Bombyx mori: one gene and its partner. The protein of the gene in region 2 purifies or fractionates together with the protein of the main gene of each other region. This does not show direct contact. Links are inferred from orthologs where the notes say so. Each region holds a gene or a part of one and is shown on either strand. Other genes may lie near its edges.

What was found.
Region 1: the proteins of brefeldin A-inhibited guanine nucleotide-exchange protein 3 (region 2) and mitochondrial prohibitin complex protein 2 purify together in Homo sapiens (affinity purification with western blotting; 4 studies listed by BioGRID). This does not show direct contact. The link is inferred for Bombyx mori from reciprocal best matches to the Homo sapiens genes ARFGEF3 and PHB2.

Annotation. Positions count from the first base shown.
Region 1 is NC_085124.1:11,785,266-11,797,453, forward strand, and holds the start of mitochondrial prohibitin complex protein 2, read right to left. Parts: upstream 7,050-12,188; 5' UTR 6,949-7,049; coding exon 6,049-6,948; 3' UTR 5,822-6,048; intron 5,116-5,821; exon of another isoform or gene 5,009-5,115; coding exon of another isoform or gene 4,676-5,008; exon of another isoform or gene 4,596-4,675; intron 1-4,595. Other genes in the region: uncharacterized protein LOC101746149, read left to right, coding at 4,676-5,008; E3 ubiquitin-protein transferase RMND5B, read left to right, coding at 8,157-8,292, 9,846-9,938, 10,282-10,442, 10,958-11,164, 11,777-12,188.
Region 2 is NC_085109.1:10,557,587-10,569,821, reverse strand, and holds the start of brefeldin A-inhibited guanine nucleotide-exchange protein 3, read right to left. Parts: upstream 7,753-12,235; 5' UTR 7,697-7,752; coding exon 7,612-7,696; intron 5,490-7,611; coding exon 5,356-5,489; intron 4,645-5,355; coding exon 4,525-4,644; intron 4,132-4,524; coding exon 3,954-4,131; intron 3,131-3,953; coding exon 3,001-3,130; intron 2,430-3,000; coding exon 2,250-2,429; intron 2,000-2,249; coding exon 1,901-1,999; intron 1,137-1,900; coding exon 909-1,136; intron 1-908. UniProt on the Homo sapiens protein: Participates in the regulation of systemic glucose homeostasis, where it negatively regulates insulin granule biogenesis in pancreatic islet beta cells. Also regulates glucagon granule production in pancreatic alpha cells.

The DNA of each region.
Region 1 (12,188 bases), on a different chromosome or scaffold from region 2:
GTTTCAACTTTTGGTAAACCATATATCACCAAATATTTACACATATATAAGCGAAGCTACGAACTACGAAGAAGCGATCACAATACTACAAAAACTGTATGTAAAACCAAAAAATCTGATTTTTGCTAGACACATGTTAGCAACAAGGAAACAACGACCAGAAGAAAGTATTGACACATATTTACAAGCTTTGAAACTACTTTCAAGATTGTGATTTTGTGGCTGTTGATGCAGAAACAAACAAAAACGATAGCGTACGTGATGCTTTCATATCCGGTATATCATCGCATAAAATCAGACAAAGGCTTTTAGAAAACTTAACTCTAACACTTGATCAAGCTTACAACCAAGCACTCTCTCTAGAAACTGCAGAGATCAACTCTCAAAACTTCAATACTGTCTCTTTAAATGCTGTTGCTCCAAAAGAACCAACATTAGTCTCTTCGAAATCACAAACTCTGCACAACGAGACCTGCTCTTCTGTTAATAATCCTCGACGTCAAAAATGTTTCTTTTGTGGGGGTCAAATACATCCTCGTAAGAACTGCCCTGCATTTGAAAAGACTTGTCAGCTCTGCAACAAGAAGGGGCACTTTGCCACTGTTTGTAGAAGCTCTTCTAAATCTACAAATTCTGTGGTAGTAGGTACTGAAGATCTTTCCGCTTGTATCACAGCAGCGTCACCTTCTTCATTACGTAAAGCTACTGTACCCGCTTATATTCGAGGAATAAGAGCAGAAGCACTTCTCGACACCGGCAGCTCCATCAGTTTTATAAATGACAACTTTGCAAGACTATGCGGGTTAAAAAAAAAATCCTGCAATCAGACTATTTCTATGGCCTCTCTTAATTATACTTCACAAGTAGAAGGTCAAACTTGGCAAACCTTGAAAATCGGAAATCATAGATATGATAATGTGAATCTTCTTATCGTGAAAAATCTTTGTGCTGATATAATTATCGGCCATGACGTCCTCGAAGAACATTCATCGCTAGAGTTCTCTTTCGGTGGGCCAAAACATCCACTTCAAGTATGTAACGTAGCTGAAGCATCAGTACCAGCTGTACCGCTTTTTGCGAATGTATCTCCCAACTGCAAACCTATTGCTATAAAGTCTCGAAGGCACAACAAAGAGGATAGTGAATTTATTAAAGAAGAAATCAGAAATCTTATAGCAGAGGGCGTGATTGAAGAAAGTAAATCACCGTGGAGAGCCCAAGTACTAATAACAAAAAGCGAAACTCATAAAAAACGCCTTGTAATTGATTACTCTCAGACAATTAATCGTTACACAGAACTCGACGCGTACCCTTTACCAAACATTGAGGACTTAGTTTCGAAAGTGGCAAAGAATATATTTTTCAGCCTAATAGACTTGAAAAACGCGTACCATCAAGTACCTATACTACCCGAAGAAAGGAAGTTTACCGCTTTTGAAGCACTGGGAAATTTGTACCAGTTCAGACGTATTCCTTTTGGAGTAACAAATGGTGTTTCGAGCTTCCAACGAACAATCGATTGGATTATAAGAAAAGAGAAGCTTCAAAACACATATGCGTATCTTGATGATATAACTATTTCTGGCCGTACTCTTGAAGAACACGATCATAACTTAGAAAGTTTTATGAATGCCGCAAAGAAATACGGTTTAACACTGAGTATACAAAAATGCAAATTTTCTCAAAAGTCAATTAATATTCTAGGCTATAATATTCAAAACCATATAATTAAACCTGACAATGAGCGACTCAAGCCACTGATTAATTTACCTCCACCAAGCGATTTACCGACCTTAAGAAGGACACTCGGCATGTTCGCACATTATTCTAAGTGGATTCCAAAATTTTCTGAACGGATCCACTCACTTGCTAATACGACGATTTTTCCACTCACAAGCGAGCAAATTAAATGTTTCGAAGGCTTGAAAAATGATATCGCAAAGTCTTCTATACATGCAATTGATGAAAATATACCTTTTACAGTGGAAACTGACGCTTCCGATCATTCCATTGCAGCAGTACTTACGCAAAATTCTAGACCAGTGGCGTTTTTCTCAAGAACGTTAAATTCAAGCGAACAAAACCATTCCGCCATTGAAAAAGAAGCGTACGCCATTGTGGAATCATTGAAGAAATGGAGACATTTCCTTATTGGTAGACACTTTAAGTTGGTAACTGACCAACGCTCGGTTTCTTTTATGTTTAATATGAAACATTCAAGTAAGATAAAGAATGAAAAGATTCAAAGATGGCGACTGGAACTTGCTGCTTTCAAATACGATATTATATACAGACCGGGGAAAGAGAACTATGCTGCTGATGCACTATCCCGAGTTTGTGCCACTGTAGAAACACGTACTGCAAAACTTTTCTCGCTGCATGAGGCTCTTTGTCATCCAGGGGTAACAAGAATGTTTCACTGGGTTCGCTCTAAAAACCTTCCCTATTCTATTGAAGAAGTCAGAACAATGACAAAATCTTGCCGAACCTGCTCTGAAATAAAACCTAGATTCTTCCGAAATACCTTTGATGACCAGAGGAAACTTGTTAAAGCGACGGCTGCTTTTGAACGCCTTAGCATAGATTTTAAAGGACCAGTTCCAACAAATAATAATAACAAATTCATACTTACCGTGATTGACGAATTTTCACGTTTCCCGTTTGCATTCCCATGCTCAGATGTAAGCTCGAAAACAGTGATTAAACATCTTAACAACTTGTTTATGATATTTGGCATGCCTTCTTACGTTCATTCAGATCGCGGAACAGTATTTCTTTCTGCTGAAGTACAGGAATTTTTACATGTTCGAGGTATTGCCACTAGTAGAACTACAGCTTATAACCCTCAAGGTAATGGTCAAGTAGAAAAATTGAATTCTACTCTTTGGAGAACGATTCTTTTGGCGCTGAAGACGAAGAATCTTTCGGTAGAAAATTGGGAACAAGTATTACCACAAGCCTTACATTCAATTCGATCATTACTTTGTACAACCATAAATTGCACTCCACACGAAAGAATGTTTAGACACCCTCGAAGATCTACAAACGGCACTTCTGTTCCATCGTGGCTTACAAATTCTGGACAAGTCTTGATGAAGAAATTTAATCGTACAAATAAATATCAGCCATTAGTAGAAGAGGTTGAATTGATACACAGCAATCCTGACTTTTCATACATTCGGCTTCCAGATGGCCGAGAAACAACAGTGTCGAATCGTCATCTAGCACCATTGGGTTCAGAAAGGGTAGATCTGCGAATAGATAATGAAAACACTATTGATTATCATAACGTCGCAGAACCACTTCCGGAAACAGAAGACCAAAACTTGGAGATTCCTTCATCTAATGAAACGGGACCTGTGGTACTTGATAATAGCAGAGAGATAGAGACAGAATTACCATCATCACCACCGCCGGAGCCAACACTTCGTAGATCTGGTCGCGTCCATAAAACGCCAGGATTTTTAAAAGATTATGTTCTAAAATAGTGTGGGAGAATGATGTAAACTTCTTAGTTGAAATTATCAGCCATAAGTTGACGTCATTGTCAATCTGTTTTATTCGTTATTTGTCAATGTACCTAATGTAATCAAAGCAAATTTTACTATTAATTTTAGCTTATTAAAACCTTATATTCAGTAAAGGTTTTCTCTTATTACACATAGAATGATTATAAACAGTCCAATAAATGATAAGACTCAATGTAGACAGTTATTTTATAATGCAGCGGAGCAGCCGTTTTATAATAGATACTTAAACTGATCATAGGTAAATTGTAGTGCTGCATTTATTTATCTCTTGATTTCATGTCGATAGATTTTTTGACCTCTTTTTTAAAGAACATTTGAATTCTGATATTCTCATGTCACATCCTCGTTTGTTGAGGTCTTTCTTATTTATTTTCGGTATCCATAAGATAAAAAATCTACCTTGAGACTGTTGAATGTGCAACGTAAGGCATTATTCATTATGAGTTTTTACCACCAGGTAGGACCATCGATCCTGAACTCTACTGCAAACAACTGATGAGATTAAAGCAAGAAGTTGAGAGAAAGCGGCCGGAATTAATCAACAGAATGGGTGTGGATTTTCATCATGATAACGCTAGACCTCACACATCTTTAGCCACTCAGCAAAAATTGAGAGAACTTGGCTGGGAGGTGTTAATGCATTCGCCGTATAGTTCTGACCTTGCACCTTCAGATTTTCACCTGTTTCGGTCTCTTCAGAATTCTTTAAATGGTAACTACATACTTTAGTTAAATGTAAATAAACTATATGAAAAAATGTTGTGAATTTTCTCAAAAAATGCGAAGAAACTTTCCCCAACCTATTATGTACTTTAATACTTTAGTTATTATTTCGTTATCTTTTTAATATTTTTTTTTGTGGCTTTTAATTTCCATTTAGCTATGCCTTTCAATCACCAAATTAGTGGAATCGAATGGTGAACATATTTTTCGTGAGTTGAAGTGCATATTAAAGTGATTTTAAAGCCTAATGCCGATTAGAGCAGTCCATCCTCTGGACTGGACCCACAAACATTTCAGTCTAAATCAAAGTCCTCTATAGTCAGAGAGTTTTGACAGTTGACATTTGGGACAGTACTTTATTGAAATTTACTTCGAAGTCCATGGTGATTAATCTATGATTCAAAATTGGAGAAGTAAAAGCTATGATTCGATTGTGTAATAAAATGAATAGATTTGGGGTGCTGAAGAGCAATACGCTCCGCATTGCAACTCGGTTTTACAGTGAAGGCTCCACACAAAACGAAAGTCCTAGTTTTTCTTCGCCTCCAACAAATTCGACGATTCCTGAAGTCAATGGATTGAGTAGCGCCGTCATTCATCCAGCTTCACAACCTGTGGGCCCCGGTGTGGATCCAAAAAAAACCGGAGCGTACAAAGTTCCAGAATATTTCTGTTATGATAATGTGAGCTTCTTCGAAGCTGAAATTGAGATGGCGAAGTACCGATTGCCACAACCTTCGGCCCTCAAAAAGTAAATTTTAATTTGCTTGATATTAGATGTAATGTAGTAATTTAATAAATACAGTTGTACTAAGTTATTTGTCTTTTTTTTTTTAACAAAATAAAGTATATAATAAATTACTGAGCTACTGTGTTTTACTAAATTATTGTAATACTAAAGCCTAAATTACTGTGTTAAATCAAGGAACATGGCCTCCTCAAGATGTCTTGGTACATAATCTAATCAGCCAATCTGTAAATATCAAATCAGGAGTTTTTTTATTGCTTAGATGTGTGGACGAGCTCACAGCCCACCTGATGTTAAGTGGTTACTGGAGCCCATAGACATCTACAACGTAAATGCGCCACACACCTTGAGATATAGTTCTAAGCTCTCAGTATAGTCGCAATGGCTGCCGTGAAGCAGTAATGCGTTTCGGTTTGAAACGCATTACTGCTTCACGGCAGCGGAAATAGGCGGGGCGGTGGTACCTACCCGTGCGGACTCACAAGAGGTCCTACCACCAGTAAATTGATTAAAGATTCTAATTGGCATTGTAAATCTATATATTTTATGAATCCTTTTAAGTTCAAATTATAGCGTAGTTCCTGTTTGGATCTAAACTTAACAGTAATAAACAAATTACTGAATTACTCAACTGTAATTTCAATTACTCAGTTTGAGAATCAAGTTATCAATTAATTTGACTGTTTGACTGAAAACAATAAGCCAGACAATATTGTATTTTGTACAATGATATGTTTTAATTATAAAATCTTATGTAAACAAAGTCAAACAATTGAAAATATTTTTATTCAAGTTATAGTTATCAATAAAGAATAATCACTTGAGTTTTGAAATCTTTATTGACATTTTTTGTTTCCCATACATACTATTAATCCTACAAAACTAAATAACTTAAAATGCAAAGATTAAATTGTTTGAATTGTGATTTGCTGAACAACCCAAATACTAAACAGCAACTGAAGCAGCACCACTGATTATGACTGTAATTTCGTCTTTTAGAGTGGCGGCTGGCTTCAGATTCTCAGCGCACACACTCTCAGCCTCATGTTACTTCTTTTTAGTGAGTTTCTCAGACAAATCATCAAAAGTAGGATCTTGAAGATTGATCATCAGACTGTTTCCAGGGAGGAAGACACGGTTCTGAGATTGAGCAATCATTCTCGAAATACTTTGAGCAGCACGAATTTTCCTAAGTTTTAAATAACCAGGGTTCATGCCCATGGCTTTACCCAACATCTCAGCAGCTTCAGCTTCTCCCTCTGCTTGCACAATTTTCTGTTGACGCTCTTGCTTTGCCCTTTCAACTACAAAAGCTGCACGCTGAGCCTCCTGTTGTGCAACTTGTTTAGCTTCTACTGCAGCTGTGTATTCCTTACCAAAGCTTAGTTCAGTGAGGGATACATCATCAAGGATAATATTAAAATCAGCAGCACGCTCAACCAACTCTCTTCTGATTAGTAGAGACACCTGCTGACGCTGTGTGATCAGCTGGGAGGCATTGAATTTGGCAACAACCGATTTTAGGACTTCATTGCATATAGATGGCAAAACCTTTTCATCATAATCTGTTCCAAGTTGTCTGTACATTGTTGCTAGCATATTGGCATCTGGTCGAGAAAGTACTCGGAGGGAAATGTTTACCATCTGTAAATCTTTTGAACCAGTCGGGGAAGATATCTTGCGAGGTCGGGATCTGATATCATAAATGATGGGGTATTGAAACCACGGTATACGGAAGTGCATACCTTCAGTGAATACGTGCTGTTGTACTCCTCCTATTCTGTTGAACATAATGGCACGATGACCTCCTTCCACGGTAAACACCGATTGGGAGACGCCATAAGCCGCAGCGCCGACAACGGCTACCACTTTGAGACCGATGCCAAGACCAGGTGGCCCACCTTTAGCGAATTTTCCTGCCATGTCATTTATCTTACTTTGTGCCATGACAAGAATATGTTTAACGTATAATAGGGTATTTTAATAGTAATTTATTTATGAAATACTTTTACGTTCTAACCTATCCGGCAACTAATTCCAAATTGTGCAATGACCATAGACACGCTTATTTCGAGATATGACCATAAACAATTTTTCTTTCCATTAATTCCATTAATTAAAAATTGTTTAATGTTGGGATAAGAACACCTCTGTTGATTTTATTTTAAAGAAGTCAAGCACATAATATAACATGTTGATTTTTGTATAATTTGCTTTTACGTTATGATTGATATGGAAAACGTTGACTAATTTTTTTAATTTTTATTGCTTAGATGCGTGGACGAGCTCACAGCCCACCCGATGTTAAGTGGTTACTGGAGCCCATAGACATCTACAACGTAAATGCGCCACACACCTTGAGATGTAAGTTCTAAGGTATAGTTACAACGGCTGCCCCACCCTTCAAACCGAAACGCATTACTGCTTCACGGCAGAAATAGGCGGGGCAGTGGTACCTACCCGTGCGGACTCACAAGAGGTCCTACCACTAGTAATTACGCAAATTATAATTTTGCAGGTTTGATTTTTATTACACGATGTTATTCCTTCACCGTGGAAGTCAATCGTGAACATTTGTTAAGTACGTATTTCATTAGAAAAATTGGTATCCGCCTGCAGGATTCTAACACCGGTGCATCGCTAGATACGAATGCACCGGACGTATTATCCTTTAGGCCACGACGACTTCAAAATTAATAACAACGGTCTATTCATTAACTGTTTTACACATTTGCGGAAAATGAGACAAAGCTGCTGCACTAGATATAATCTCTCTGGTTTTTCTATAAAATCCACTTCAAAATTTCGTTTCATTTAATTTCATCCCACTTGATCACAGGCTAAAATTAATCAAATTCATCTCATTTCGCTTCATGTCATTTTTCATAAAATAATATTAGAAAAATAGGTCTTGGACTTGTTACCAGATCATTAAATTAAAAAAAAAACGGAAATGACAAACGTTCACTTTGTCACTTGAGAGTTGAGAGAAAATGTTTTTAGTCTGCTATCATTAAATTTGTATATTAATGCAAATTTTTAGAGTATACATACCTTTTCAAAATATTTGGTAAAGTCATACGTAGTTCTTTGTTCTAATACAATAAGGCGTCGTTTTTTGAAAAACACTGTAGGGACTGGAATCTTGAAAAACAATGGATTCCTGTATTGGGGTTGAGCAGGATTTAGACAAAGCAATTACAAAATTTACAAATTTAAATGAACATACCGATGAAGTATTGCAAGATATTATTAACAAAGTAGAGGAGCTGCGGCGGGAAATAGCCCAACGTAAGTTATTACACATTACATGTTTACTACATTTTGGTTTAGTCATTCCCAACACAGACAATGCAAAAATGAAAAACAAACTAGCCACATAAACATGTTCATCAAAGAAAGGAAATAATGAAAAGACACATATAAAGAAAATTACAAATTGTTCTTCCAATTAAAAAAAAGATGGTATGGTGATTTTTGCTGGTTAGTGTGTAAAGTAGTCTTTGCTGGTCAGAAGGAATTGCCCTTTTTAAAGCTATTTTAATATAATAGCACTTTTTATTGAAGTTATAATTCTTTAGGCGCGCTATGAAAAATTGATGAGAGTGAAATTTTACATTGAGCTCGTACAGTGATACAAAATTAACAGAATGAAGTTGCCCACTAAATCGTTCATTACAATACGACCGACGTAACTTGGCGAGTCTGAATATAGCCGCAGGTGAACTTTCCGAACCATACCGAGAATTACTGAATTTATACGATGTCAAGAAAAGGGATGTCCAATATGCCTGTTTGAGGATGTTGCTTAATCGATTTTTTTTCAAATTGATTAAAATTTAAATTAAAAAAAAGAAATAAATTTAATAAAAATAAAGTATAACTTCTTACGCGTGTACATAAGTCCACGCACCCTTTTTATTATTTAGTATAATTAGCCCAAGTAAATCCAGCATGCACATGAGAGATTATTTCCAAAGATATCATACTAAGGTAAATTACAAAATTTAAAACTTATCTTTTATTTACAAGAAGGAAGTGTATGTTATAAATTAAATAAAATCAAAAACATTTACTACTAGCAAGTGAAATTCATTTTGCTACAAAAATGTGCCCGAGTTGCTGGGAGGCAGTGGTACGAAAACATGAAGAGCACTGAGGGTTAATATAACATTTTCTTAAAAGTGTCAACCTCATTTGTCATATCAAGAGTATGATGTTTGGTAGGTTTGCAATATTATGCGACAAATCATTGTGTTAAATTGTTAGTTGCTAAGATCTTCAAACAGCTATTCAAATATATGAAACTCTACAGGAGGCCGACTTAAAAATGGGTTATTGAAATTCTCATATAAATAATATATCAACCCCTCTTTATAGCTAACATTAATTAATGATAATGCTCATATCTTTAACATGGTTTAATGTCCCATTAATGCATTTATTGATATGCATTTTTATTAAAATAAGTTACAACAAACAGTTACATTATTTGATAAATACTTATAAAAAAATGGAAAATTTCTTCTTGTTCATTCAGTAATTGTATTGTTTATTCAGTTCATATTATTAGTCCTCTTACAATCTAAAAGTTGGAGTTCCAATTGGATTCAAAAGTTTTGTGAAATATCCTCATGGGATATATTCGAGGATTAGTTTATCAGTACGACAGGAAGTATAAGACAATGGTTTGACAATGTGCTTAGTCTGCAAACCTCTCCCTTGGTACTAAAAATGTTTAATGAGTTTCATAGTTTCATTGGTTGGTGAAACCTAATTTTCTTAATGTAAAATGAGGGCTCATCCCCCTCATAGAGATAATAAAGTATATTATTTCTTTTCAGAACCACCAAATACACCATTAACACCTGAACAAGCCCAGGTCGTGAGCGAATTAGCCTCTACCATCAAACAGAATGCATTTCAATTGTCAACAGGTAAAAAAAAACTCATATAAAGTATACTATTGAAAGTTCAACCTCCGGTCTAATGATGGGATGCGGGGGTCAGCATTGGTATTCATGCTATGATGGCTACCGAGTATATGCCAGAATATGAATATTACTACACTCCTTGAGACACCTACATTTGTGGTGGAAATGTGCAGGACTGTGGTATCAATCTGTGCATCATATTATAGCTCATATTAAGTCCTACAATCAGTAGTTAAGTGAAGTGCAATGAATATAGAAGAGTAGAGTTTGGTATAATTATTACAATGTAATGCATATTATATTATATATAGAAGTATATAATGAATAAGCTAATTTACGTTTTTAGATCACAGAGAACTCCATGCTACAGTGTCAAGAGTGGGCAAGTCTATAGATAGGCATTTCGTGGCCGATTATGCAGCAGTTGCTCCAAAGGCGGAAATGTTCTGTTCTGATGAAAATCGACCTATTATGGAACAAGCCATTGCACAACATTTGTACAGACAGGTAGCTAAGATATTAAACTATAGTTGAGTGAAATCAGTTGTTCTTTTGCCAAACTATGGCATATTTATAAGTGCGCAGAGTATGTGAAACGACCAAGGTAGGACTGGTGACTGGTTAACATCACGCGGATGCCCCAAGAATCTTAGATTAATGAGGTCAACGTTTGGTGAAAATGAATCGAAGTCGGCCGCCACTGTTAGCGCCTGTGAGACTGCCCAGGTGTCTTCTGGTGTTCCGGGATACCGATGAACTAGAATTAGTCTGTAGAGTAAAAACAGGATATACTTCTAATCGATGACGTGGTTCTTCTATTTAATTCTAACCGGCGCAGTGGGGCTCTCGTTCGGTGGTAAGCGTGCCATGTGGGGCATCATCGCCGTTGAACTCGATCATTTGTACACACTCTTTGACTTGCTGTGTCGAAATACATTATATATTAAACAGTATCAAACATTTATATGGAAATTCATAGATATTCTTGATGGGAAAAGAGTTTGTGTCTTTTTTATACACAGGGCCTAGAGGACGTCGGTGATACGTTTGTAGCCGAAGCCGAAATCAGTGGCGTTGAGCGAACCTGTACGTTTGCGTCGGTACAGCGTTGTGCGACTGCATTGGCCGAGGGCGACCCCACTCCTGCCCTGCAGTGGGCTGAGCAGCACATGCAGGAACTACAGCATTCACCGCTGCCGTTCACTTTGCACAGGATGTACGCTTTGAAGGTGACCATAATCAAACTAATAAATTTATCATTAAAAAACTTTTATGGCACCTGAATTTTCAAATATTGTGCTTTTCGTGGTCACCAACAAATACAAAATTAATTTTAATAATGTCTGTGACTGGCAAAATTCCATGAACCATATTTTTTTTTAGATTGTTGTACGAGCTCACAGCCCACCTGGTGTTAAGTGGTTACTGGAGCCCATAGACATCCACAACGTAAATGCGCCACCCACCTTGAGATATGTTCTAAGATCTCAGTATACTTACAACAGCTGCCCTACCCTTCAAACCGAAATGCACTACTGCTTCACGGCAGAAATAGGCAGGATAGGTGGTACCTACACACGCGGACTCACAAGAGGTCCTACCACCAGTGATTACGCAAGTTATAATTGTGCGGGCTTGATTTTTATTACACGACGTTATTCCTTTACCGTGGAAATCAATCGTGAACATTTGTTGAGTACGTATTTCATTAGAAAAATTGGTACCCACCTGAGATTCGAACACCGGTGCATCGCTCAACACGAATGCACCGGATGTCTTATCCGTTAGGCCACGACGACTTCAAAATAGTTTATAGAATGAGGTATGTGTGTGTATGACAGCTGGCGCGCGAGGTGGGCGTGGGTGCGGCCATAGAGTACGCGCGCAGCACGTTCCCGCGACACGCGGCGCGGCACGAGCGCGCGCTGCAGGCGGCCGTGTGCGCGCTGGCGTGGTGCGCGCGCCCGCCCGCCGCCGCGCCGCCCGCGCCGCCGCCCGCCTACCGCCGCCTGCTGCAGCCGCGCGCGCTGGGGGCCGAGGCGGCCGAGCTGTTCGTGGCGGAGGCGTGCGCCGCGCTGCGCCTGGCCCCGCTGTCGGCGCTGGCGGGCGCGGCGCGGGCGGGCGCGCGCGTGCTCCCCGCGCTGCACGACATCCGCTCCAAGATGTCGCACCCGCACGTCATCGCGGCCTGGGCGGAGGACGAGCTGCCCTTCGAGGTGGACCTCGGTGACGAAGGCGGCGGCTACCACTCGG
Region 2 (12,235 bases):
TTTTTTAGTTGGATTTTCTAAAAATGCATATTTTATTAGTTTTTTTAAACTATTATTTATTTAAAATAAATTATTCCTTAGACGCGAAATACACAAAACCGCCTTAGACTTAAGGCGCGGTGCAGGGGTGGAACGGATCGGGGCGGACGCGATTTAAAGTATACTAGTGGTCCCGCAGTAGTCGAAATTCGACTATAATTAATGGAAATTATAAGTTTTTTTTTATTGCTTAGATGAGTGGTCGAGCTCACAGCCCACCTGGTGTTAAGTGGTTACTGGAGCTCATAGACATCTACAACGCAAATGCGCCAAATTTTAATTTTTGCGGGTTTGATTTTTATTACACGATGTTATTCCTTGATCGTGGAAGTCAATCGTGAACATTTGTTGAGTACGTATTTCATTAGAAAAATTGGTACCCGCCTGAGATTCGAACACCGGTGCATCGCTCAACACGAGTGCACCGGACGTCTTATCCCTTAGGCCACGAGGACTTAGAACTAAGTTTGAACATTATGATGGTTCTATTGTCAAAGACTATTTATTATACTTCTATAATCACAGATTTCGACACTATAGACAAATAACATTAAAAATAAACAATATTAACCTATTCCTTCTCAATTTGACCACAGACTTAAAACAATAACAAAAGTTTGACAATAAACACAGAGTATATACATATATGTGTGTGTGCGTCAAATCATGGTAGTGTGTGTAATGTTTTATTTATTGATCTAATGTATTATAAAAGCATAATTAAAAAAAAATAGCATTCTGCACTTCTTCTCTATATTCTCTATAAGTGTGGGAAATTTCATAATCCTCCGTCCGCGCAATTTTCGTAAAAAGGGTACAAAGTTTTTGCTTCACGTATTAATATATAGATCTTTAGTGCTTTTGCTCACAGTCTGATTATGGCCATGTCGTCGCTGTGCCGCTCTTGGTTCTCCTGCTTTTTTAGCAGGACGAGTTGGCAGATCCTTCTCGGGTTCTGCAGCAGTTCTCGGGTGCTCCGCAGTGCTTCGACGCGATGCGGCACCGGGGGGTAGAGTAGCATTCTGTGGTACAGTGCTTCGAGGACCGGTCGGAGATTCGAGGTTGAACCTACCAGCCGCACCAGCTGATTTGCTATGCTGCAAACAACGAAATGATCCAAGGGTTAATACCGTTGTAACTATACTTGTAGGCAGCGGCTTGGCTCTGCCCCTGGCATTGCTGAAGTCCATGGGCGACGGTACCCACTCACCATCAGGTGGGCCGTATGCTCGTCTGCCTACAAGGGCAATAAAAAAAAAAACTTACCTTACCTTAGAACTTATATCTCAAGGTGGGTGGCGCATTTACGTTGTGGATGTCTATGGGCTCCAGTAACCACTTAACATCAGGTGGGTTGTGAGCTCGTCCACCCATTTAAGCAATAAAAAAATCCTTCGTCAATGTTTGTTTGAGCTCTACTTAGACTTTCGTCTTAAGTATTCTTATTCTATTCTTTTTTTTTTATTGCTCAGATGAGTGGACCAGCTCATAGCCCTGCGTTCCGCGGTTACTGGAGCCCATAGACATCTACAAAGTAAATGCGCCACCCATCTTGAGATATAAGTTCTAAGGTCTCAGTATAGTTACAACGGCTGCCCTGCCTTTCAAACAGAAACGCATTACTGCTTCACGGCAGAAATAGGCAAGGTGGTGGTACCTACCCGCGCGGACTCACAAGAGGTCCTACCACCAGTAAAAATTCTTAAGTATTTAGTATTAATACTAGATCAGAGTTTACGTTTATTATTAAACTAACAAGCGTTTGAATCTCCCGCATTTATATGCTGTATCAAAATTTGGAATTTATTTTGGGGCTATTCGTTTTGTGAATGTATATTTTGGAATTTTAGCAATCACATACCTGTAAATAGCTTTAGCCTGTTTACTGTTGAAGCTTGGTGCGGAGTTCAAAGCTCCGGATCCTCTTCCAGAATCGTCAACTAAATGTCCTTCGTGATCTCTGGGAATTAAGTCAATAAAATTATTTGAATATGATCTTCACTGCTTTGCAAAAATCCATCCATTAAATACATCTCGCTGCATAATGTTGTTATTATTACTCTGAATTGTTCGCATAAGTAAATAAAATAATATAAGAATATTTTCTTTCATTTTCTAAAAAATTTTTGAATGTTTCTTTTCCTTGCTTATTACGCCCTAACAGTGAAATATGATGAGATTTAAAACGTCCAGTGGTTCTCAAAGATTACCTGGATTTGATATTCTTGTCGACCCGGGGCGTTCCGAGGAAAGATATAAGCGACGGACAAAACTTCTGCCACAGGAATGTTGTGAAGTGCAAGTTACCGCTAACACGTTCCGATAGGCTGGACATCAACGTTAAGAGGCAATCCAAAAAGAATAGGGCCAGCGGGTTTTGCTTTGGATTCCTGTATCGGAAATACGGTAGCATTATTAAGATTATTTTATTGCTAAGATGGGTGGACGAGCTCACGGCCTAACTGGAGTTGAGTGGTCACCGGAGCTCATGTACATCAATTATGTCAATGCCACCTTAAGACGTGAGTTCTAAGTCTCAGCTTTCACAGTACAACGGCTGCCCCACCCTTCAAACCGAAACGCATTACCGCTTCAAGGCAGAAATAGCCAGGGTGCGAAATACCTACCCGTGCGGACTCACATGACGCCCTCTTACCAAAAAAAGTCCTTTTAATGTTTTAGCGTTTCTCAGATTCATCGTTTTTTTACTTTTAAACTGCTAGAGGTTCGTAGATCGTTCTAGTCTAATAAGGATGTAGCATAAGATACCTTTAACCTTTAACTCACACTAATGCGCGACATTAACCATAAAGGCGTTAATTGATGATAAAAAATTGAAAATTTCCTCCATCCTTTGGAATGACTGAAGTTTTACAAAAAATATAACTAAAATTATTAATTATTATTAAAGAAAAACTACTAAATATGAGGTCAGTTTTTGTTTATTTCTAAGCAACTCACGACTGTGTCTCGGCCAATCTGCTGCACAAGTATTGTATGACTGGTATTACTTCACTGTAACAGCCTACTGCCACTATGTGGTTCCTGCCAAGTGGAGAACCTTCCGACAGCAGCTCGGTACACTCCTCGTCTGCAGCGAATTTTTGTATTATTAGTAGGCGCTAGAACATTTTGTGTAGCGCACACTAATTAAGGCTTTCAGTCAAAACTCAATAAAGTAAATACAACTCAGTTAAAAAGTTAATTGGAATTAAGGTTAGTCTTAAGGGTTTAGAGATCAGTGAATCCGGATCTTTATAGTATAAATAAATGATTTTAAGGAATCTTGACCACCAATCGGTCGCAAAGATATCGATGATGTAATATAACTTTCAAATATTACTTTTCAGAACCAATGGATTTGAAATACTCAATTTAAAAGTTGAAATCATGGTTCTCCGACCTTATGTCTTTATTGTGGGTAAGTAATATTTTTTTGATGCATTGACAGTGGATAAAGCTCACGTCCCAGCTGTTGTTAAGTGGTTACCGGAGTCCATAGACATCACAACGTTATCTTGAGACATAAGGTTTCTATCTTAATTGTATAGTATAAAAAGTGCCCCACTGAAATATCCCCTGTAGTGCTCACGAGACGTCCGGTCCTCTTACTGTAACGGATAATTGATTTTACAGAATAAAACCTTAAGCACCGGTCATCGTTCTCGTCGAACCCGTCGCTTGCGACGAAGGGCTCGTCGAGTAAATTAACCAACAGACACACACTGAGTTTCTCGCCGGATTTTCTCAGTGGGTCGCGTTTCCGATCCGGTGGGGTAGATTCTGCGAAGCACGGCTCTTGCTAGGGTTCGTGTTAGCAACGTCGTCAGGTTTGAGCCCCGTGAGCTACTAGTTAAGGTTACGGCTGAAATAGCCTCTCATCTTAGCTCAGGCAGGAAAAAAAAGAGGCATACCTAATTGTGCACAATAAGCTCTCAATGCTTGGGCGGCTGCAGCCCTCGCGGCAGCGGCCACATGAGGAGCCGCACCCGCTGCCTCTCCACACCGACCGCAGGCCCACACACAGAGACGACCGTTCAATGTTCGGCGAGGAGACAACGCCAGTGATAGATACATGCGGAATATTTGTACCTGACAAATATTCAATTGATAGAAGTGGAAAGATGATAATTCTTTCTAGATTCTAGATCTATATAAATCTCTATAAATCTAAATCTAAATCTAGATAAATATGAATATGCTGAGCATTAAATAAAAATAACAATTTTGTTGTGTCCCCCGGCGGACGGTTTCCTTTTGTTTATTTTAAGTTCATTTTATAAAAAGTTTAGGTCTTTTGCTTATCGATTGAGGCACTACGAAGTCTGCCGGGTCAGCTAGTATATATATAAAGATTGAGTCTGTGACTTATTCGATTATGCCAAAGACGTATAATTCCTTACTTGCGGATATTACACGCCACGTAGACCATTAATTAGTGTACAATGTATATTCAATGTATAAAAGCACAAAGAGTTTTATTACCTGTGTTTCTGGTTGTTGAAACATGACTGAAGCAGTGGCACATAATAACTGTGAGGGCATCCACAGCGAATCGTCTTCTGGTTCGATTCCACGGTGGAAACGGTCATCTCTTAAGATTTTCTGAAAGAAGCATGCTATTGGTTAGCTCATTAACTCTTGTTGATTTATTTAACTTTATGCATAATATTAAAATGGCGGTATAATTTCTTAAGCTCGACTAGTCTTATTCTTGCTTTATTGAAAAAAAATCCACAAATATAACATACAACGTCGCACATATTTTTATTATAATATCGTTAAATAATAATACACTGTTTACTAATATATACATCGTATCTATCAATTACTGTGGTTTGTGTTTGTTTATTTAGTCTTAGGTAATTTGCAAAAGGCTCTCTACATTGTCATTCTTTATTACCTACATCGATGGGAGAAAATAATGAGACAATTGGCGCTAAAAATATTATTATGTAAGATAAACACATAAAGCTTGTATCCACTGTAAAGGGCTGTTGAAATCCCAATTTTAATTAATTAAAGGGAGTTTGCCAATTTATTAATCGGCTCTATTACTTCATTGTTAAATTCAATCGGGGACACGAAAAATTGGTACCTGCCCCAGGAAATATTAAAATATATGTCTTCTATCATACGGAACGATTTTAACAAGGATTTGAAGTACTACCAAACTACCACCATCTTTTAATCCCTTTTCGTATTAAAAGTAGGTCATCATGGTAATATAAGCCATTATAATAAATAGATATCACGTAACGTTATGGGCAAAAATATTATTATATTATAGATTATTATTAACTTATTGCAACGTACATAAAATCCCTGTACTGCGAATGTAACTAGCCTTGGCCTCTTTGTTTCCAAAGCGATCTGCAATGGGAGGAGACAGGCGCGTCGCAGCTCGTACGAAGGACGGCGCGCGTTACTCTCTTGGAGGCATAGCAGTTCTATAAGAATTAAAATCGGTTGTCTGTAAAGTCGGTTTACTGAGGATAGTTGAACGTGACAACGTCATAAGAAAATACTGATGGAATGGTTTCATTTTTCAAAAGAAAATTTTAATTTTATTTGTTTGATAGATATTTTGTATGGATATAGAGAAGGAGGTAAATGGTAATCACTATTGAATTGATCAAGTTACATTTATTTGTACGCATAAATACAATTATGTCAATTTTTTTTACTATGTACATAGTTTTTTTACAAGAATGAATGTGCTTTGAATTGTATTATTGTAAAGCAGCTGTCCACGCGGATGCGTCGCTCACTCAAGTAGGAGAGAGACAGATGTCGAACGCTGCCGAACGCGGAGGCAATGGCGGATCCAGGGGGGGGGGGTGTCATGGGGGTCATGGGGGTCATGACCACCCCCTGAGCCGGTTCCAGGACTTAGGTGGACCACTAATTGAATATAATGATTTTATTTATATATTTTGTAAAAATACAGATTTTATATAACTACATACCTTCAATATTTAATTAATTTAATGTAATAACTTTGTATAATGGCAAACGTCTGGGAACGAACGCATCTAAATTTGACTATGTGACCCCCTCCTGGCGCCAAAGCCGGATCCGCCCTTGCGCGGAGGCCGATTGTGCCTCTTTGACGCTCGTTGCGCGCTCTCGCTTGCACTTCAAACCTTAAATGGAACGCCTCAGGGCGAGGTAACGTCGCATGAGTCATTTTTTCGTGCGTGCAGCCGGCTTCGTCGAATTATAAGACGTTGTCACGTCAAAAAATGGTTACATATCATACAACGAACGTATTAAGTAAAAACATTTATATTTTCTAATTATACAAATTCCTTGAAATAAGACGGACAATCGAAGTGTTTTTTTTGTCTTGAAATTTTGTTGCGAGTCATAAGGATTTTGGAGTCAAAATAAACGCATGTGACGAGACTTTAACGAAATAAAAGAAAGACTACTACTAAGGGCATTTCTGTTATTTTTAATTAGACGTTACAATTACACTCAATTAAATGAAAAAGATAAACGAGTTTCGTGAATTCAGTTATGTGACGTTTGTTGGTACAGTTTGCACTACAATTAATTTTTTAAGATGAATTTGTAAACATTTAAGTAGTGAATTCAGATCTGAGAGGTGCACGCTTCTAAATAAAAAAAAGAAGACATGTTGATTTACTCCTTCAAACTAAATATTTTGCAACTGTAAAAAGCCACTGATCGATTATTCTCAATCTTTATGAGAACAGCCAGCGACATGATGTTTAACGCTAGCTACTGTAAGCGACTTTAATCACTTATCATATCGAAAATAATTTATTTTGAGAGTATTATGTATCATTACGTGGTTAAGATATGACCGAAAACCTTTCCGTATTCTTTAACTTCCAGTTTTATCTTATTAAATAAGATAAGAATATACCAAAGTAATTAAAATTTTACGGTCATTTTTAAATTTAAGATTATTTTTAATTTTACCAGCGTAAAAAAGATTTCAGTCTATAGACTGGATACTAAAATACAGTAGTAGTATGTGCATGATTTAATTTAAACTTTAGACATTTACACGATACTGTATATGAGAAATGTGAAAGTTGGTATGATTGGATGATAGGTTCGGATGAGACGTAAAAATATATTAGCCTGGATTAGCAATTAAATAATTTTTATGGTCGTAAATAAGATGAAGTGAGTAATGCTGGGTAAATCTGCTGTAATAAATACAACACTGCGTTAGTTTGTTCGTGATTATACGTACCAAAAGAGCTACAAATCGACTGGTAATTTTTAGACTACACAGTAGCAAGAGCAACTATATAATCCGGTAAATTTCTGTATTACAAACTCAACGGAAGTGAAATGGTAAACGAATGAACCAAATAAGGAATCTTATTGATCCAATCTAGGTTTATTGTTTAGTTGCTCACAGAAGAAATTACAAGACCCTATTATAATTTTGTAGGAAAACAAGAGAAGATCATAAACAGTTTTGACTGTCTGTTTCATCAGAAATGTTTATTCGCAAATTAATTTTGACTTCCACAGCAGTATATTCTGTTTTAGACGTTTAACTACTTAGAAGTCCATCAAATTACGTACCTAATGCATCTTGGGCTGATTTTTTCAAGGACGAGAGCTTAGGACCAGTGGATTCTTTGAATATATCTTGCAACAGTTCCTCCATGATTTCTAATAAGCCCGAAACGAACTTTAAGTTTACCACATTTCAAGGAGTTAACTAGGAATATCGATTTGATGAGCAAAACACACTGTATATTCACAGTAATGATTTCGAGTAAACTAGTGAATCGTGTGGGTGTCGTTTGCAAGCTTATCAAACACTGGTGTGTATGGGAGGTCGGTCGGAGCATGCTCAGTATAAAAATCAATATGTAATATTGGAACTGGCGTTTTTTTTTTGTAAGCGCAACAGGTCAGATTTTTTATGACAATTAAAAATAACAATACAGCATCAACGACATTTAAAAGTATTAATTGACGCCATTATCCTCATCATTTTTCACGAAGATAAAAATAATTTATTTCGTAAACGTATTTCAGGTATTGAATATTTAATATTGCTCAGAGCAGTGGACGAGCTCAAAGAATCCCGGAAGTTCTGGAATATATTATTAATTGAAACTTTCGACCCCTTGAGTCTTCCGTTGTAGTTTTGGCTCTACTCCGCTTCAGTGGGAAATAAATATTTTGAGTCAATCAATCCTCAATGAGTCTGGTGCGAAATTCAAATCATTTTTGTTCATAGATTTAATAGCTTTCCTGTGCTAGCGATTCGATTATGATGGAGGAGACGAAATGAAAACTGGTGTGCAGTACCATTGTCATTCACAATTTGGATGTGTAAATATATGGTGCTATTTAGTAAATTTTATAGAAATACAAAAAATCTATTGAACGTTTTAACATTTATTTTCACAACGTTTCAATACTATACATATATGAATATTAATATTTTAGCGTTCATAATCGTAATATCGTAATCGTTCGTAATAGCAGCATTTTTGCTGTATGTATATAGTAAAAATTATGTAATATGGTACCTATGTCTTTTGGGGGCAACTAGCAAAAGAAGAAGAAAGAAATAGGTTTGTATGAAAAACGCCATATGAGGTTTCTCTTTTCCTTCATTTTATTTTACTCTTTGCAGGAATATCTTTCTCATCTTTCTGCTAAAATAATCTCAGAGCTTTGCTCCTCGCGTTCCCGCTAAAAAGTCATAAATAATATTATAAAGTAACTAAATAACTATATAGTAGTTCCGCTTTTTCAATCGGAAAGACGAAGGAGAAAAATAATATGAAATGAAATTGATTAATCTAAAATATTAATCACTTGAAATTGAAGTCGTCGAGGCTTAAAGGATAAGATGTCCGGTGCATATGTAGCGATGCATCGGTGTAGGAATCCCGCCAGCACCAATTTTTCTTAGAAATACATACTTACCTAACAAATGTTCACGATTGATTTCCATAGTGAATGAATAACATCGCTTAATAAAAATGAAACCCGCAAAATTATAATTTGCGTAGTTACTGGTGGTAGGACGTCTTGTGAGTCGGCACGGGTAGGTACCACCGCCCTCCCTATTTCTGCCGTGAAGCAGTTATGCGTTTCGGTTTGAAAGGCGAGGTAGCCGTTGTACTGTTAAAAGTGAGACCATTTAGCTCATGTTTCAAGGTGGGTGGCGGCATTTAGGTACGTTGTAGATGTCTAAGGGCTCCGGTAACCACTTAACATCAGGTGGGCCAAGAGCTATTCCACCTATCTAAGCAATAAAAAAATAAAAAAAATGAAATGAAATGAAATTACCGAAACAATTCATACAACTTCGCTCTTCCCGTTGCCGCCAAAAATCCCACAGATTCGTCGAGCTGGCTGCATAGAGGTCGACTCCACAGAACACTATTACTTCTAGCGAAGGTCGACTCTCTCAAAAAAAGTAAGCAAAGGGATTTGCGCCTTAACTGCTGTCCAGTGTTACCAACTGATTCGGCAATAACAACGTACCACGGAATGAAGCGAAACATTCATATTACAATACTCATAACAGCCACCAGTCACAATAATTCCAATGTCATTGAAAATAGTTATAATATTTGTGGTTTATCAACGAAAAATACATATGGCAAAAGCCAAAAAAAAGGTTGCATTTAAAATGAAAATTCCGGTAGGCCTTTATTCAATTAGGCGATTTCAAATAATCATTATTTTACTAACTATTGGAAATGCAGTTTGCCTATTGCGAAAACAAGAATTTGAAAGTTTACAAAATATGTGTAATATATACAACAACAAAATTAAATTAAAATATTTTAATTAGTATTTAATATGTTTATATCTAGAAAAAAAAAGCTCTGTTTTTCCAAACACTTATTAAATAGGTATCTGTTCAGTACAGTTGCTGTGTGGAGTACACGCGGTTTTGTTATTAACCTAGTTGCTGATTGTAAAAAACCTTTTCACATAAGGTACTTTAAGTTTATAACACCTTAAGTTTTAGTGTAAAACTACCATGGGAATTTATTAAAAAAATGTACCTATCTCCTATTTAAAGAACAAAAATTACATTAGGTGGAATTTTTTTAGTTTTAATTTTTTTTTATTTCTAGCATTTATCGAACTTAAACAATTCGTTAAAGTGTGTAATTCTAAATGTTTGATGTTAGCAATGATGTTGTGCAATACAGTTGTGTGAGCGTTCCTATACCATTATATTTTATTCCATACCTCCCATAGACCTATAGAGTATTTATATTTATACAGTGATACCTACTTTCTAAATTTATATATTTTATATTACATAATATATGTTATTAACATATTATATTAATATATGTACACTGCGACAATCAGTATCATATTATATTTTGTGATTCCTTTCCCAAAAATAACAAACATCATTTCACGGTGCATTGTGAATTTTAGCAGCTTAATAGTAGGGGTTAAAGTACGAAATTGCCGTTTTATTTTAATAGCTACTTCGAATTGACATAGAACCTTCATGGTTTGAGATTTTTAAGTGAAACTTTTTTCGAACGGTACCTATGAGGTTCTTCTTTTAAAAAATGTGCAACATTCGATTACCGATTTTCAGTTGTTTTTTTTTATTCAGTTTAGACAAGAAAGATGGTTAATACTTCGAAAATTCGAGTGATTTTTGAATACGAGTTTCGACGCGGAACTAAAGCTGCAGAAACAGCTAGCAATATCAATGTTGCGTTTGGAGAGGGGACTGCTAATGAAAGCACCGTGTGATTTTGGTTTAAACGCTTTCGTGATAGAAATTTTAATTTGAAGAACGAACCACGTGGAAAGCCGCCCACACATGTGAATAACAATGAATTGAAAGTGATGGTGGAAGCCGATCCGAGTCAGACTACCCAGGAATTAGCGGCAAACTTAACAGGTTGAACATGATCTTTGAATTTTTGTTTTCGATAGACTCTATAGCTATGGCATAGACCCATTGCTACTGTTAAATTGGAAAAATTATTCTGGCAACATTTTTCGACAACTGTCAAAAAGGCCAAAATAAAAATGGTGTCTTGGAGTGCTCTCGGTCGATCTTTCGGCATAAATTTGGTAAAAAATTCTTTAAAGTCGCCTAATAAAATACAGAATGTGACTTTCACCACCGCGAAAACCTTAAAAGGCAGTCATGGAGAAAGAACAATGGCACTGCAGCCATCCAGGTACTGTGATGTTTCTAGTGATTATCTAATCGCTTTTGATTTTAATAGAATAATAATTTATATTTTTTATACAAAACATAACAAAAAAAAAATAGTTTATCATTAAAAAGCCATTTTTCTGTCAGAATAATGCATTTTATTGAATTATATTGTTAACATGTAACCTAATTTTAATTTCCTGATCACAGATGGCAATGGCACAAATTTAAGGATATGCTGCACTTTTACATGATGGTTGGACTTATACCGGCCGGTGCCCTTATATTCTACTGTAACGTATTCATTGGGCCGGCGCAATTGACACCTATCCCTGAAGGATATACGCCCAAATACTGGGAGTACCACCGCCATCCAATCACCAGATTTATTGCTCGCTATATTCACAACAATCCACAACAGGTTTGTCAAACTTTTGATTTGAGTTTTTAAAATAAGATTCTCATTAAAACAGGAATGTTTGTAAGTAGATAAATAGAGATATCTGAATATGTTACTAATATTTTAAACAAACCTAAAATCAGTAGTATTAACTAATAAAAATATTATTTTTACTATTTTTCAAAGATATTTGTGTTAAAAAGGTTCTTGTAGAAATTAAACTAAATGGTTATTGCTTATAAATTTAATTAGGAATACTAGAGTACTATTATTAAACTAACTATTGAATTATTTCTTGCTATTCATCATTATGTGTGGATTCTTTTTCTCAAAGATTTTCCATCTTTAGTATGTTTCTTAGTTTCACAAAACAAGAGATAGCAGTTTCTGGAAATGCTGAATAGAAATAGATAGAGTCAGAGATTGAAGCCCAATTTGCTATTTACGTTGGTATCTTATGGTATGGTATGGTCGTGGCCTAAAGGATAAGACGTCCGGTGCATTCGTATCGAGCAATGCACCGGTGTTCTAATCCCGCAGACGGGTACCAATTTTTCTAATGAAATACGTACTTAACAAATGTTCACGATTGACTTCCACGGTGAAGGAATAACATAGTGTAATAAAAATCA